2 linked regions of the Pelodiscus sinensis genome follow. The protein of the gene in region 1 interacts with the protein of each later gene in a pairwise test. Links are inferred from orthologs where the notes say so. Each region holds a gene or a part of one and is shown in the gene's direction. Other genes may lie near its edges.

Region 1 (7,447 bases):
GCAAGAGGTCAGACTAGTGATCTCTTTTGGCCTCCACCCTATGAATCTTTAATTATCAGGGGCACGAGGCAGTCCTTGCTAAACTTTCATGTTTGATCAATTCAGCAGGAACATTGCCTTATACACATATAAAAAGATACACCAAATGCACCCGCTATTTTGAAAAAATTATAAGACCATCCACCAAAACTAACAGTATTGGAAAAATGAATAAACACCAGCAAAGGGAAAATGTCAAAGAGTTTGGAGCTTGATTAAATGTCTGGAAGTTGATGCTTTTCTGAAGCTATGAAAACCCCATTCCTTGAGGTGGATAACTCCCCTCAGCCTCTTCCTCTCACTTTATGATATTATCTTCTTGAGATGAAGGAGGCCTGATAGTCTACTGCATCCATTGGGCCATTGACATCTTTGGGGACAGTCATCAGACCTCTCCCTTCTGCGGGGACTTCAGGGGATAAATCCCATGACAGATCTGCTAATAGGCAGGTGTGGAACCACGTGTGGAGAAGAGAATTGAAGAGAGCCTTGAGAAGATACACCATTGAAAGGCTTAAATGAAGAAGTGAAGAAGGCAGCAGTAGCAGGAAAAAAGACTGCCTTCTTCATGAATCACTGGGGATACATATTATCCAAGTGAGTGGTAATAATGAGCAGGAAGGAGTTTCTCTGTCTTGGATCTCTTCCACCTTTCCCACTCTCCCTCCCCCAATCCAGCTGACAGGCCTTATTTACATAGGAAATTTGTAATTCACCACTGGAACAGCTCCATGGCTGTAGCAACAGTGGAAGATGTAACATAGAGAGGACTCATCATATATCTATACTCTGAATGGCATGATCACTGGCATGACCCCCTGGGGAGCCACACTGGTGGTGAATTACATCTTCTAATTACCCATATTACCTAATAAGCAGCCAGAGTAGGTCAGGAGCAGGTTTTCAAGCAGTACCATTGTCAAGTACTGTCTGTATGCACCCTGCACAAGTCACTTGTCACTCATGGAATGATTGTGTTTCTTAGACCTAGTCATGGAGGGAGCTCATTTTGCAGCATGGTCCCACTTTCAGGGCAACTTTCAATTAGCACACACATTATTCTATGAGCATGGATTCAAAACACTTATATACATGGTAAAAAAATAGGTTGCAATCTTATTGTTGGATTTGGACAAATGCTATCATTGGCATGTTAATAAAAAAGGCATATTTACAGAGAAATTTAACTGTAGGTAATCAAGCCTGAGACTTTGTCTACACTACACAGCTTTTAGTGACTTGGCCATGTCGACACTGCCATGTTGCTAAAAGTCTGTCAGTGAGAACACTGGTAGTCAGCACTTTTGCCAACAAAATATTTCCACCCCCTATAAGTGGGGTTCATGTTGTTGACAGGAGAGCACTCCTGACAACAATTAGCCACTTGCCATGGCAAAACTTTTATCCTGGTAGGAAGGCTTTTTAAAGCACCTGCAATGACAAAAGTGCATGAACTAGCAGCAATGTGATAGAATTTCTAGGGGGGGTGTGTACATAAGAACATAAGAACGGCCGTACTGGGTCAGACCAAAGGTCCATCTAGCCCAGTATCCTGTCTGCCGACAGTGGCCAGCACCAGGTGTCCCAGAGAGGGTGGACCGAAGACAATGATCAGGAGATTTGTCTCCTGCCATCCCTCTCCAGCCTCTGACAAACAGAGGCCAAGGACACCATTTTATTCCCTGGCTAATAGCCTTTTATGGACCTAACCTCCATGAAATTATCTAGCTTCTCTTTAAAATCTATTATAGTCCTAGCCTTCACAGCCTCCTCTGGCAAGGAGTTCCACAGGTTGACTACACGCTGTGTGAAGAAGAACTTTCTTTTATTAGTTTTAAGCCTGCTACCCATTAATTTCATTTGGTGTCCTCTAGTTCTTCTATTTAGGGAACTAATAAATAACTTTTCTTTATTTGACCTCTCCACAGCACTCATGATTTTATATACCTCTATTATATCTCCCCTCAGTCTCCTCTTTTCTAAACTGAAAAGTCCCAGTCGCTTTAACCTCTCCTCAGATGGGACCCGTTCCAAACCCCTAATCATTTTAGTTGCTCTTTTCTGAACCCTTTCCAAGGCCAAAATATCTTTTTTGAGGTGAGGAGACCACATCTGTACACAGTATTCAAGATGTGGGCGTACCATAGTTTTATACAGGGGCAGTAAGATATTCTGGGTCTTATTCTCTATCCCTTTCTTAATAATTCCTAGCATCCTATTTGCCCTTTTGACCGCCGCTGCACACTGTATGGAAGTTTTCAGAGAACTCTCCACTATGTATAGTGTTTTTAAAAGCACTTAAGAGCAACTGTAATTTACACAACAAAGTAAAACACAGCTGCAATGGATAAGGAAAAGTGTTTCATTTTGTTATCAACATTTACATTAGCATGTTGAATGAAAGATTGTTGCGTGTAAACCAAGATTTTAAATGAGTTTTTATGACATCTGCAAACAATTATGCAATGTTTACAGATTATATGACACACTTACTAGTCAGATAAGCACTGAGAAGCATGAGTTTGCATACGCAATAGACAAAAAGATTTCACGAAGGGCTGCACAGGTACAATGAGCCTAAATCCGTTCAGATGCGTTTTTTACTTTTTTTTTTCTAGTTGGAAAACCACATTCACCACAAAATTATAATTAAGTCTTGCAAAAATTTGGGACAGGATATTAAACATCATGCTTTTGGATTAAGATAGTTTCCTGTTACAGACTAAGAAGACACTGTGGCTACGTCTACACTGGCCCCTTCTTCGGAAGGGGCATGCTAATTTTGAACTTGGGAATAGGGAAATCCGCGGGGGATTTAAATATCCCCCGCAGGATTTAAATAAACATGGCCACCGCTTTTTTTCCGGCTTGGGGAAAAGCCGGAAAAAAGCGTCTAGACTGGCGCGATCCTCCGGAATAAAGCCCTTTTCCAGAGGATCTCTTATTCCTACTTCGAAGTAGGAATAAGAGATCCTCCAGAAAAGGGCTTTATTCCGGAGGATCGCGCCAGTCTAGACGCTTTTTTCCGGCTTTTCCCCAAGCTGGAAAAAAAGCGGCGGCCATGTTTATTTAAATCCCTAATATAAGGGATGGGGGTGGTGAAACTATTCAACATCTGCCTATTACAGCATTCTTGCTTCTTTCTCTGAAACATCGGCACTGAGGCGCTGTCAGAGATGGACTAGATGGCCCTCAGGCCTGACACAGTCTGGCAATTCCATTGTCTTAAAAGACAGTTGATAGAAAGGTGCTGGGCTTTTGCCCATCCAAACCACAAACTAAACTTACCAATTCCATGAAGAAAACACAATCCACTGGAGTCAGGTGAAGGTCAATACTCCCTTTCTATCCAAACAATGATTGTAACAGAAAGCTGCATGCGGTGCTAGAGAAACTGCATCAATAAGCATTTGTATCTGTCATGTAAACTCTGAGCCTAGGATCAGTCCATATCTTGGGGTACATCTTCACAGCAGGGCAAAACTCGAATTAAGCTACACAACATCAGCTATGTCAATTGTGTAGCTGAAGTCAAAATAGCTTAATGCAGCTTTTGGCACTGTCTCCACAGCAGGAAGTTAAAGGAAGAACAATTTTCCTTCCACTTCTCTTACTTCTCCTGAAATGAGGGCTACCATGAGTTGAAGTAAGAAGTCCTCCAACTCCACATTATTTTGAAATAAAGGCTTGTAGTGTAGATGCATACTATGGGTACGACTATACTGCTGCTTTTTTTTCTAAAAAAGCTACGCAAAATGCATATTGCATTTTGCGTAGCTTTTTTCGATTCTTTCGTCGGAAGAGGCTTTGCTGACATTTGGCCCGTCTAGACTAGGCCAAATGTTAGAAAAAACCCTCTTTCAAAAGCCCCCTTATTCCTTGTGCAATGAAGAATACAGGGGCTTCTGAAAGAGCGCGTTTGCTCTCCCCCCAAAAACACAGAAGAGCAAACGGGTTCCCTGAACGCAGAACAGTTTTTCCAGGATACCTTTGCTATCTTGGAAAAACTGTGTAGTGTAGCCGTATCCTGTTATTTTGGGATACGCTCAGTTATTCCAAAATAATGCTGCTGTGTAGACTGCCCTTGCTGAGCTTCTGGAGAGAGGCTGGAAGGAAAGCCAGACTAGGTCTCCAGCCATAAAATTATGGACCATTGCCAGGAAACTCTCCCCCATGCCCCTGTGAGGTGGGGAGTCCCAAGAAAGGCTGTTGGGCTGTGTGTGCGCGCCTAGGCTTGCCCCTACACACAACCCCTTCCTCCATCTCCTCAGCCTGAGCCGGGGCCCCAGCCTGGCTTCCATCCAGCGCAGCGCGCGCGCTGGTCAGGAGGTGATGCGCTGCGCTAACCGGGGGCCAGCGCTCCCTTGTGTCTGCGCCTGGGGCAGGCGGGCTGGGCGCAGGGAGGGACTCGCTCTCACTTCCTCTTCGGCCTCGCTCTCCAGACAGCAGGTTGCTGCGCTGGGCGAGCGTCCGCGCGGCTGCCGAGCGAGGGACGGGGCGGGGCGGGGAGCCCCGCCTGCCACCCAGTCCGGAGCGCGGTCCCCAGGCGTGGGGCGCAAGCCGCAGGTAGGGCGGATGGGAAGAACAGAGCCGGGAGGAGGCAAGAAGATGAGCCGACCCAAGGGGCTTCCCAGCGAGGGGCAAGACGAGGAAGTGCTCGAGGAGCTGCAGAGCCTCGGGTAAGGGGCAGCGCGACCCCCCGGGCTTCGGGCAGCCAGCCCATTGCTGGCCCAGCTGTTACCCAGCTGCCGCTCCCTCCCGCTGGCCCGTAGCCTCCTTTCCCGCGCGGCTGGGAAGGCAGGAATGGCTCTGCATTGTGGGGATGGCGAGCAGGCATAGGAATCCCGGGCTGGGTCAGCCATGAGAGCTGCCCCAGATGGGCGGGGGGGAGGAGAAGGGAAGGGTCGCCGTGATGGTTGTCTCCTCTGACCCCCCCAGCTATGAGGAAGTTGTTGGCACCATCAGCTCGGTGTGTTTGCCTGCATGGGGCTCTCACTGCAGCTGGATGTACTTGTGTGGGACCAGCCCACAGGGGTCAGTGTGAGGGGCTGCTTCAGAATCACTGTTGGGAGAAAAAGAAGGAGGGTCTGTTAAACCACTCAAAATGTAAACAAAAAAGTGGAAAAATCTGCAGGCAACTGCATAGATAGAGGGGCATTCCGCAGCTGTCACGCCTGCAGCAGGTACTGAGTAGGGTTTGGGAGTTAGCATATTTTGCCTGGACATTTTAAACAGAATTGATCATTATTTTTCATCCATGTATGCAAAATAAAGGGACTTTCCCAAGGTGAGGAGAGAAAAAGAAAACCATTACAGGATTTCATGGGTTGCCAGAGCATTTGGAACTGTTTCCTAATTATGTCCAGTTCAGATATGGTCTAATGTATATGACTTACTGAGTTAGATTCTGTAATAGATAGACAGTTAGGTCTATCTATCTATCTATCTATCTATCTGACTGCATTAAATTAATTGTTGCACTCTGAATAACATTTGGTAATTATACATTTCTGTTGGAATCAATTGCCACAGTTGGCAATTTCAAAAGTGATGATAGTTTTATATTTCTTCCCCACTCACCTCCATAGTACTAATAACTTCACAGTACCAGGCCATCCCTTTGGTGACCTGATTGCATAGTTTTACTGTGATGACATCTCACCCAATATGGTATATGAGTGTGACTTTACAATGTTACAATCTCTGTATATTTGTTTCCTGGGAAATTTTGTGATGACAAAATACTGTCTTTTGCAGATCTTATCATGCAATGTCTAGCAGTTAGATGGTGTTGCAGAAAGAGAGCGTCATCACTGCTTTTGAGATTGTTCAGACGCTTCAGGGGGTAGCTGAATTAGTCTGTACAGGATAAAATTAAAAAACAACAAATGGTCTGGTAGCACTTTATAGACTAACAAAACATGTAGATGATATCATGAGCTTTCATGGGCACAGCCCACTTCTTCAGATGACCAGAGTTTTGAGTTTAGGATGTGCAAATCTAAAATAAAGAGGGGAGAAGGTGGGGAAGGAAAAAAAGGAGGGGGGCGGGAAACAAGGAGTAGAGGGTATGGAAATATCAAAGGGAAAAACAGGAAGGCAGAACTGAGAATCAGTGAGCACCTGAAGATTGGTTAGTTAAAAGGAACCAGATAAGAATCAAAGTCAATATATAGTACCCTTCCTAACACAGGAATCTACATAAAGGGCTGTTTGCACCTTCATTGAATGTTAGGTTGATAGTGTCCCAATCATCCCACATCATGATTGAGGCCTTTAGCATGAGAATTGAACTTGCAGATGAATTGTAATTCCAACTCCTCACTGTGTATTTGGCTAGTAGAATTGGTTTGTAATAAGACAGCCACTTGAAGATCTTTTAAACAGTGATCAGGAAGATTAAAGTGTTCCCTTTATGTGTCCATTGATTCTTTCCCATAGGGACTGTCCAGTTTGTCCAATATATATTGATGGCATAAATCAAATTACTGGATGTGTAGTCAAATGACCTTTTGATTTGGTCACTTATATTGTTGGCTCCAGTGATGAATTCGTTTGTATAGATATGTGGGCAGAGTTGGCACCGTGGTTGGTTGCAGGGCTGAGTTCCTGGATACTTATGATGTGGTTGTGTGTCATGGTTACCGGAAAGAATTTGTTTCAGGTTGGGGGATTGTCTGTAAGCGAGAATAGACTTTTCTCCCAAGGCCACTGAGAGTGAGGGATCATTTTCCAAGACGATTGTGTATAATGCACTGGAGGGGTCTGAGTTGTGGATTATAGGTAACAACAAGTGGAATTCTGTTATTTTCTCTTTTGGGTCTGTCTTGAAGTAGGTACTTTCTGGGTACTTTTTTGGCTTTGCCAATCTGTTTTATTAACTTCTCCAGGCGGTATTTCAGGTTTGGGAATGCTCTATATAGATCCTGTAGGTGTTTGTCTCTGTTTGTGGAATTGGAGCAAATCCGGTTGTATCTTAGGGTGTGGATGTATACAATAGATCGAGAAAGCTGTCTGGGATGGAAGCTGGAGGCATGAAGGTAAGTGTAGCGGTCGGTGGGTTTCCGGAATAGGGTGGTGGAAATTTGTCCATTATTTAACTGTACTGTAGTGTCCAGGAAGTGGATTTCATGTGTGGACTGGTCCAGGCTGAGGTTGATGGTGGGGTGGAAGTTGTTGAAATCCTTGTGAAATTCAAGAGTCTCTTTTCTGTGGGTCCATATGATGAAGATGTCGTCGATGTAGCGTAAGTAAAGTATGGGTGTTAGGGGGTGAGAGTAGAGGAAACGTTGTTCAAGGTCATCCATAAAGATGTTGTCATATTGTGGTGCCATGTGAGTGCCCATGGCTGTGCCGCTGACTTGGAGATACAGATTGTCTCTGAATTGGAAGTAGTTGTGGGTGAGGA
Region 2 (7,837 bases), on another chromosome or scaffold:
TGGTGACTACATAATTTGGTATGCTGATTTTAACAATGGCATCTATTTTGCTCTATCACGTAAGGATTTGTCACAAATCAAAAAGAAAAATTGGACATTTTTCATGCTTTTTATTACACCTTATGCGTTAACTTGGTAAATAGTAAGTTATAGTTTTTTAGAAGAGTGTTCCTTAAACTTTAAAAAATGGAGGAACACCAAACAATCTTTTTTGAGGAACACCAAGGACTTTTTGTTGAGGGGAAAAAAAAAATGTTGGGGGGAAAGTTATTGGTGGGGGGAGTTGCCTGTCCCATTAAGGGTGGCCATTTTGAACTCTGTTGCCCTCCACTGCACAACTCTGACTGCCTCGCGGCGCACCAGTGTGCCACGGATCACTGTTTAAGAAACACTGTTTTAGAAGGTCTGTTGTAAGTCCTTGTTTAAAGAACAAAGGAGCAAAGTGTAAAATTTAACAACTGAGTAATTTTAAATGATTAGATGTGACTGAATTGACACTTTTTTGACAACTTTTTACGCATTTCACCATCAGTCTCTCTTTTCAAGGACCAGCAGTAATCAGCCATCATGTTGACACCCCAGCATCCTTTATATCTCTTTTCCATCGTCTTGATCTCTTGATGAAAATCTTTCCCCCTGCTCTTCAATGACACTTCCAAGATTTTCAGGAAAATAATCCAGATGGGAGCGCAAAAAATTAACGTTCAAACTCATGTTGCATCCAAATCTTTCAAATTTGTTTAGCATGCTGCCAACAATGTTTTTATGATCAGGATCTTTGTTATTCCCTAAGAAGTGTTGTATGACATTTCTGAAGGCCACCCAACCATCTCTCTCTGTGTCATTCATGGTTTCTTCAAAGTTAGTGTCAAGAGTCAGTTTCCTGATTTAAGGACCCACAAAGTTCCTTAACTTTTTGGTAACTCAAAGCTGTGAACTTGTTGCAAATGTAGTTGAAACAGTCATCATTCTTGCTTAATGCTTTCACACATTGTTTAATCAAACCTAGCTTGATGTGGAGTGGAGGTAGCAGTCCATTGTTGGGCTCAATCAGTTTTTCATGAATTATATTCTTGGAGCCGGGAGTCAGACTCTCCCTTGGTGGCCACTGATTCCTTGCCCAATGAAGATCTCTTGCTCTGCTATCCCAGTCGCATAAAAAGGATGGCGTTTTTGTATAACCAGCCTGCTGACCAAGCAGCATACACAGCACCTTCAGATCTCCACATATGGTCCATTCATGCTCCATTTCAAGGAGAAGATTTTCATAGGTTTCTCTTAAGTGAACAGAATGGGCAATGGGCACAGAGGCATATCGATTGCCATTATGAAGTGGAACACCTTTTAGACTTGTCTTTGAAGAGTCAATAAACAGTCTCCAGTCACCTGGTTGGTAAACTGTCCCCAAGCTTTCTATTAGTCTGGCAATGTTATTGCAGTAAACCTACAGACCAGCCATAGAAAAATATGGAACAAAACCTTTCTCGTGGTTCCTATACCAAGCAAAACTTGTCCCAGGAAAAAGCAAATTCTTCACTTGAAGTCTGGATCCCAAAACCTCAGCAGAATCTTTAGGCAGATCCAGGTCTCTCACCAAGTCATTCAATTCACTTTGAGTGAAAAGTTGTGGCTCATTACTGGCATGTTCTGGTAGATACTCAGTATCGCCTCCAACATTATCAGCATCGGTGTAAATTAATTTAAGCATTTTGATGAATTCAATCAATTTGAAGTATTTTTGCATGCAAGTTCTTGAAAATGTCACTGCATATAGTTTTAAGTTCTTGAAAATAAGTCACAGAATATAATGTATAACACATAATAGCATTTTTTTAAAAAGTAGACTCCAGTTTTCAGAAAATCTGTACATCATGGGAAAAAATTGATATAATTTTTGAACTTGGCACCCCAAAATTAGTTAAGAACAGTTATTTGTTCTCAAACAATGGAACCCATGCATAAGGGTGTAATGAAACACAATGAAAACTACCTAGAGATCACTAATGCTTCATATTGTGCCCCTTGTTATCTTTAGCAGGAGCAACAAGAATATAAAAAAGGAAGTTTGGGCCATCTTGAATCAAAATTAGTGTCATATTTAGACTTGGGAATCAAAAGGTAATAGACACAAACACAGTAGCACAGAAATGCAAGCATCTCTAGGATGAGAGGGTGAATGCACAGAACTCTGACTGCTAACAGGGTGAGGTGAATTGTTATGGTTATGAACAATGGACTAAGCAAACATTGCTTTTTAAGATCTCAATTGAAAGTTTACTGTGTGTTTGAAATGGAGCTTATGTTTCTCTAGACCTAATGAGTAAAACCCATTTTTCAGAGAAAAATGTTTTATCGGGTTAAAGAAAACAAAAGAACATAGGTAAAATCTCTATGACCACTGTGTGTGTCTTCTCTGTCACATGCAGAATTATTCTGCTTCATAAAATTGCAGCTGCCTTATCTAGACCACAAGCTCCTAAAATCTAAAGGTACTATAAATCAAAATAATAACTTAATGCCTACAACCTTCATTTTAAATGTCACTGTTTGGAAGGAATGGAACTTACATATTTCTCTGTTTGGGCAGGAGAGCTCTTTTTGTAGAGAGGATACTTATTTCCATTATACTTTTCCAACAGAAACCTTCCATGCTCTCCCCAGTAGACTTAGTCTATTTTATTTGAGTGTCTCATAATAAAATATACCAGAGACGACCTCTGGGAATTGAAATTAGATAAGGTGTTTGATTTTAGGAGGAGCAGCATGGAACATAACTTTGGCAACAGTGCTTCGACTCTTGGAGGGGATTGAGGGATTTCAGGGATGGTGTAGAAAAGCCCTTTGCCTGTATGAAACTTCAGGCACTGTCACACGTTAACAACAGAATAAAACCTTAGCACTATTTAAATAATCAATTCACCAGGAACTCAGCCAGCCACCTACAAAAACTCATTTATTACTCCCTCATTGTTCTGGGAAGCATATCCTCAACCCTCTCCAGAAACCCTATAAAATAGATTTCTATTTTAGTAGATGGGACATCTTGTCTTCCCTTTATTGGATCAATAGAAGCTCCTCTCTATGCAGGAAAATTGCCCAGTATATCTACTGCAAAATAGCTCCCTTTATGGATATTATGCCAGAATGAGTCACTTGTCCTGGAATAATTATTCTACTTTTTGAGAGCAGTAATTATGCTGGAATAAAGTCACTTTTATTTTGAAATAAAGTCTACATTGGGAGCTTTAGTAGATATGCTGGGTCATTTTCCTGTGTAGAGGGGCCCTACAATTTAAACTATGTAATGAACTATGCACCTTTTTTCCTCTCTATCCAACTAAAATCCGGTAGTAGGGTATGTATTCTAGTATATATACCCTGCTGCTGTCTGTATGGAAAGTGCAAGCTCTCCATCTACTGGATCATTAGGGTAAAAGCTGCTACGGGGATGGGGAAACAGATTTCTGGTGAGCAGCAGTGTTCATGCTGAAGTCTGATGTGGCTGTAGCTGTTGGGTTTTTGCTCCACAGAGGAGACTTCAACACTGTTGGGCCAACCAGAGTTTTCTTCAAGTGGATAGAAACATTTGTTTTTAAGGCTGTTGTACTAGAAATATTTACATAGGACAAGGGTTTTGAAAGTCAATGGGAGTTATGCTTGTAAGTCACTTTATAGTTCTGAAAATCCCACACAAATTCTGGTGTCCTTCAGGGACATGGCATGGTCCACGCCAGGGCACTCCCTTTGCCATGTCCATGAAATCTGGAAGTGGGGGTTAAGGCTGTTGGGGACAGAAGTGATGGAAACTTTTGGAGACTTTTGTACCTCCTAATGTGAGGTATCCAATAGTTTTTTGAACTCTGGAAGTTGGGCAAGGGAATAGCCCTGAGAATACAAACAGGTGCTCCAGCAGTTGCTCCTTCTTGTGCTTTTATTTCGATCAGTTGTAATAATATGTCTTTTCTGTAGCATTAACACTTTTCTGGGCTGTCCCTTTCATTATTTCATCCTTTAAAAACATACCTATACTTTATTTCAGAAAGAGATTGAAAATTCACCTGCACTCTGGGTTTGGATGGGAACTTTGCCTGTTGTCCCTTGTTTGGCTCCCTGTTAGGGTGCACTGGGTGGCACAACCAGATGTGAGTTGCACGCTGCTCTGTCTCCCCACAAACAGGCTTTTCTTACCTCAAGGAGACTGGCCTGGCTCTACAGCGAGCTGGAGGTGAGGGTGCTGCTGGCACTGCCAGAGCCAGTTCTAGTACAGAGAAGGGGTGACCCAGAGAGTGAGAGCTGCCTGACTGGGACAGGGAAGTGACGATGGGCAAGAAGGGAAGAGCGGAGACCTGCAGCCCCTGCTGGCCTCTGGCACTGAGAGGAGCGGGCAGCAGGGTGCTCGGAATGGTGCCAGGTCATTGACTAGCACAGTGTTTCTCAACCAGTGGTACGAATACCCTCGGGCTACTCTAGAGATGGGGGGGGGGGGGGGGGGTGGTAACAGCAGCACAACTGAAATTTGGAGAAAACTGAATTTTTGTGGTGTTTTACAGCACTTTATTTTTATTTTTTTGTATTTTTTACACCCCAATATTTCATCGCCCGCCTGGCTCCGGTTAAGTTGTTTAAACAAATGCGGTGCAAGAAGGGGGGGGGGGGAGAAAGTGTGTCTGAAAACTGCAGGTACTGGGGCTTCTAATAATTAGTGTGTTAAAGGGGCACTTGCTATTTAAAAAACAAAAAAAGTTGCGAAACACTCGACCAGCCCATTCGGTGCCCGTCGAAGGGGCGGGCGGCAGCCCCCCACGCCGCTGGAGGGCGGTAGAGGCGGCGCCCGGGCCCGTTCCCGGGACTTCGGGTTGCAGCGCGCGGGTCTGGCCGACTCCTCGCGCGGCGGCGGCGGCGGCATGTGGAGGCCGGGGCCGGCGCGCGCTGCGGCCCGGGGGCTGCGCGCGGCCGCGGGGTGGCGAGGGGCGCTCGCGGGACCCGCCGCCTCCTGCCGCCAGCCCGTGAGTAGCGAGACGCCGCCGCGGCGGGGGGAGGGGAGCAAGGGGGGGGCCCTCGCGTGGGTCTGCAGGGCGAGTCTCTCCATGAGCAGCGTCAGCCGCGTGAGCTGCCCCTGCCGCGCTGCGACCGGGAGCGGAGGGCTCCTGCCCCCGGGAATGCAAAGCGCTGCGGGGGGGCGGTCCGACTAGGTGGCCGTAACACTGCTCTGTCAGCGGCGGGCGCGGTGCGGAGTCAGGTCGGAGCTGGCCGCGTGCAGAGATCCGCCGAGGAGGAGGAGGAGGAGGCGAGAGCCGGGGGAAGCCAGTTTTTCATTGGGCTTCCCAGCTTTTCATCTGGCTTCCCCCGGAGCACTGGACCCGCCCCCACGTGGCTGCCTCGGATGGAGCAATGTGGAGGGTGAGGGGGGCAGGTGGCAGATGGTGCACGGGGGAAGCCAGCGACAGCCCTGGCCATCACTAGACCGCAGGGGCAGGAACTCAGGCGCACCCCGTTAGTGGCCGCTTTTGAAAGTGTTGGCTAAAGTGACTTGTTCAAGGTTGCGTAGGAAGCCTGAGGCAAACCAAGGAACAGAAGGCCCATCTTCTGTTTTCTTTTCTAGTGCTTTAAACACAAGATGATTTTCCCCCTTTACTAGATGATAGTAAAAGGCAAGAGTATCCTAAACATGTATTTCTGCTTCAAGAATACAGACAGGGCTGGGTGTAGACTGGCATGATTTTCCGGAAATGCTTTTAACGGAAAAGTGTTCCGTTAAAAGCATTTTCGGAACAGAGTGTCTAGATTGGCACGAACGCTTTTCCGCAAAAGCACTTATTGCGGAAAAGCGTCCATGCCAATCTACACGCGCTTTTCTGCAAAAAAGCCCCGATCGCCATTTTTGCGATCAGGGATTTTTTGCGGAAAACAAATCTGAGCTGTCTACACTGGCCCTTTTGCACAACAGTTTTTCGCAAAAAGGACTTTTGCCCGAATGGGAGTGTCAAAGCTTTTCCGCAAGAAGCACTGATTTCTTACAATAGGAAGTCAGCGCTTTTGCGGAAATTCAAGCAGCCAGTGTAGACAGCTGGCAAGTTTTTCCGGAAAAGTGGCTGATTTTCCAGAAAAACTGGCCAGTCTAGACACAGCCACAGATGTATGGGTTGGGACTTCTGAGAGAGTTTTTGCTTCCTTGTTGGTTCTGTAAGATAACAAATGAACCTTTAACTTGAAAAAGAGCAGCTTTTGGGATTCTGTTTCTTAAATATTACACACACTGACATTTTGTACCATTGCTTTTGTTAATGTTTAATGTAACTTCTTTTTTTAGGATTCTCATCTTCAACAGTTAGACCGCGTTCTAAAGATTAAAAACAATAGTGTTCACTTTATTCATTTAAGAAATGCAGGAACTTTGAATGATAAAAGGTAAGTTTTTTTTCTGAATTAATTGTATCAGAATTCTGACAGTACATACAGATTCCAGAGAAAATATCTATAAATGTGGCAGCCATGAAAATGAATATAGTGTGATTGTTGATATGAACTAGGGGGAAAAGGTTAGCCTTTTGGGTAAGGAAAGGACTTGGAATTATCACTTCTGAATTCTCTTTCCAGGTTTGCCACAGATTTCTTGTGTGAAATCATTCATTCTTTAGTTTTGCCATCTGTAAGGTAGACTAAATGGTTCCTCAGATATCTGAGATAATTGGCGTGAGACACTCCTGAAGAGTGTTTTATGGTAACTGTCATACTTTTGCCTTGTCACATTGTTTGATACTGCAGACATTTAACTGAATTGTGTATTGCTATAAGTATGCATGCACAATACCCAGATACGCAAACTAGATGAAAGGGTACTACTGAATTTGATCTTTTTTTTGGGAGACCTCATTTTTTAGGGCTGCAGCTGCCTCTATTTCTCCTTTGGAAAAGTGGAGATGTTGAGAGATTTGCCTAATTTGTAACATGTTTTGAGATTACTGGACGAACACTAATTAGAAGTGCAAAATTATTATTTTGTTGGAATGAATAGGACTTACAAAAGAATATGAATGATGAGCACTTCACTTTGTTTACAAATGCAGTTGCTGTTTCCTGTATAATAAGTATATGTTTATAAATACAAATTATTTAGATTTACCTTGCAGATGTAGTCTGTCCTTGCAAGAACTGCTTAATCTTTAACAATGTTGTATTTTATAATCAAGAAGTCTTCCATCAGTAACATTCTGGGCATAGAAGTAACTGGAGAAAGACACCTATTTAGTCCAATTAGCTGTCTATAATTTCAGATTTAAAAAAAATCCACCTCATTTATAAGGTTGCTTTATGGTATGTGGTAATTTATGACAGAGTACCTCCAATCGCATGGGACTATCTCATGGTTAACATGTTCCCATGATGATATTGCTCCTGTTTTGCATTTGTTACAAAAAAAGAGTTTCATGCTAAAGTAATACATATTTTCTCCTATAATAGTAATAGAGATGTAGCTGTGTTAGTCTGGTCTTGCTGAAACAAAAGACAGGACTATGCAGCACTTTAAAGACTAACAAGATGGTTTATTAGGTGATGAGCTTTCGTGGGCCAGACCCACTTCCTCAGATCAAATTGTGGAAGAAAATTGGCATGACCATATATATCAAAGGGATACAATAAAAAAATATGAACGCACATAAAATTGACAAATCAGATTTTAGAACAGAAAGGGGGTGAGGGCGGGAGGTTAGTGTCTATGAGATGATGTTGGGGTGATAACTGGGGAAGCTATCTTTGTAATGGGTAAGGTAGTTAGCATCTTTAAGGCCCATTCGTAAACAATTTTATAATTGTTCACTTTTTTTGATTGTATCCC

The links. The genes of interacting proteins can lie anywhere in the genome.
Region 2: the proteins of DAPP1 (region 1) and FXN interact in binary tests that used the Homo sapiens proteins (3 or more experiments, as listed by UniProt). The link is inferred for Pelodiscus sinensis from reciprocal best matches to the Homo sapiens genes DAPP1 and FXN.

Annotation. Positions count from the first base shown.
Region 1 is NC_134715.1:23,289,764-23,297,210, forward strand, and holds the start of DAPP1 (dual adapter for phosphotyrosine and 3-phosphotyrosine and 3-phosphoinositide), read left to right. Parts: upstream 1-4,429; 5' UTR 4,430-4,614; coding exon 4,615-4,718; intron 4,719-7,447. UniProt on the Homo sapiens protein: May act as a B-cell-associated adapter that regulates B-cell antigen receptor (BCR)-signaling downstream of PI3K.
Region 2 is NC_134716.1:32,175,280-32,183,116, forward strand, and holds the start of FXN (frataxin, mitochondrial), read left to right. Parts: upstream 1-4,825; 5' UTR 4,826-4,904; coding exon 4,905-5,006; intron 5,007-5,113; exon of another isoform or gene 5,114-5,391; coding exon of another isoform or gene 5,392-5,400; intron 5,401-6,310; coding exon 6,311-6,408; intron 6,409-7,837.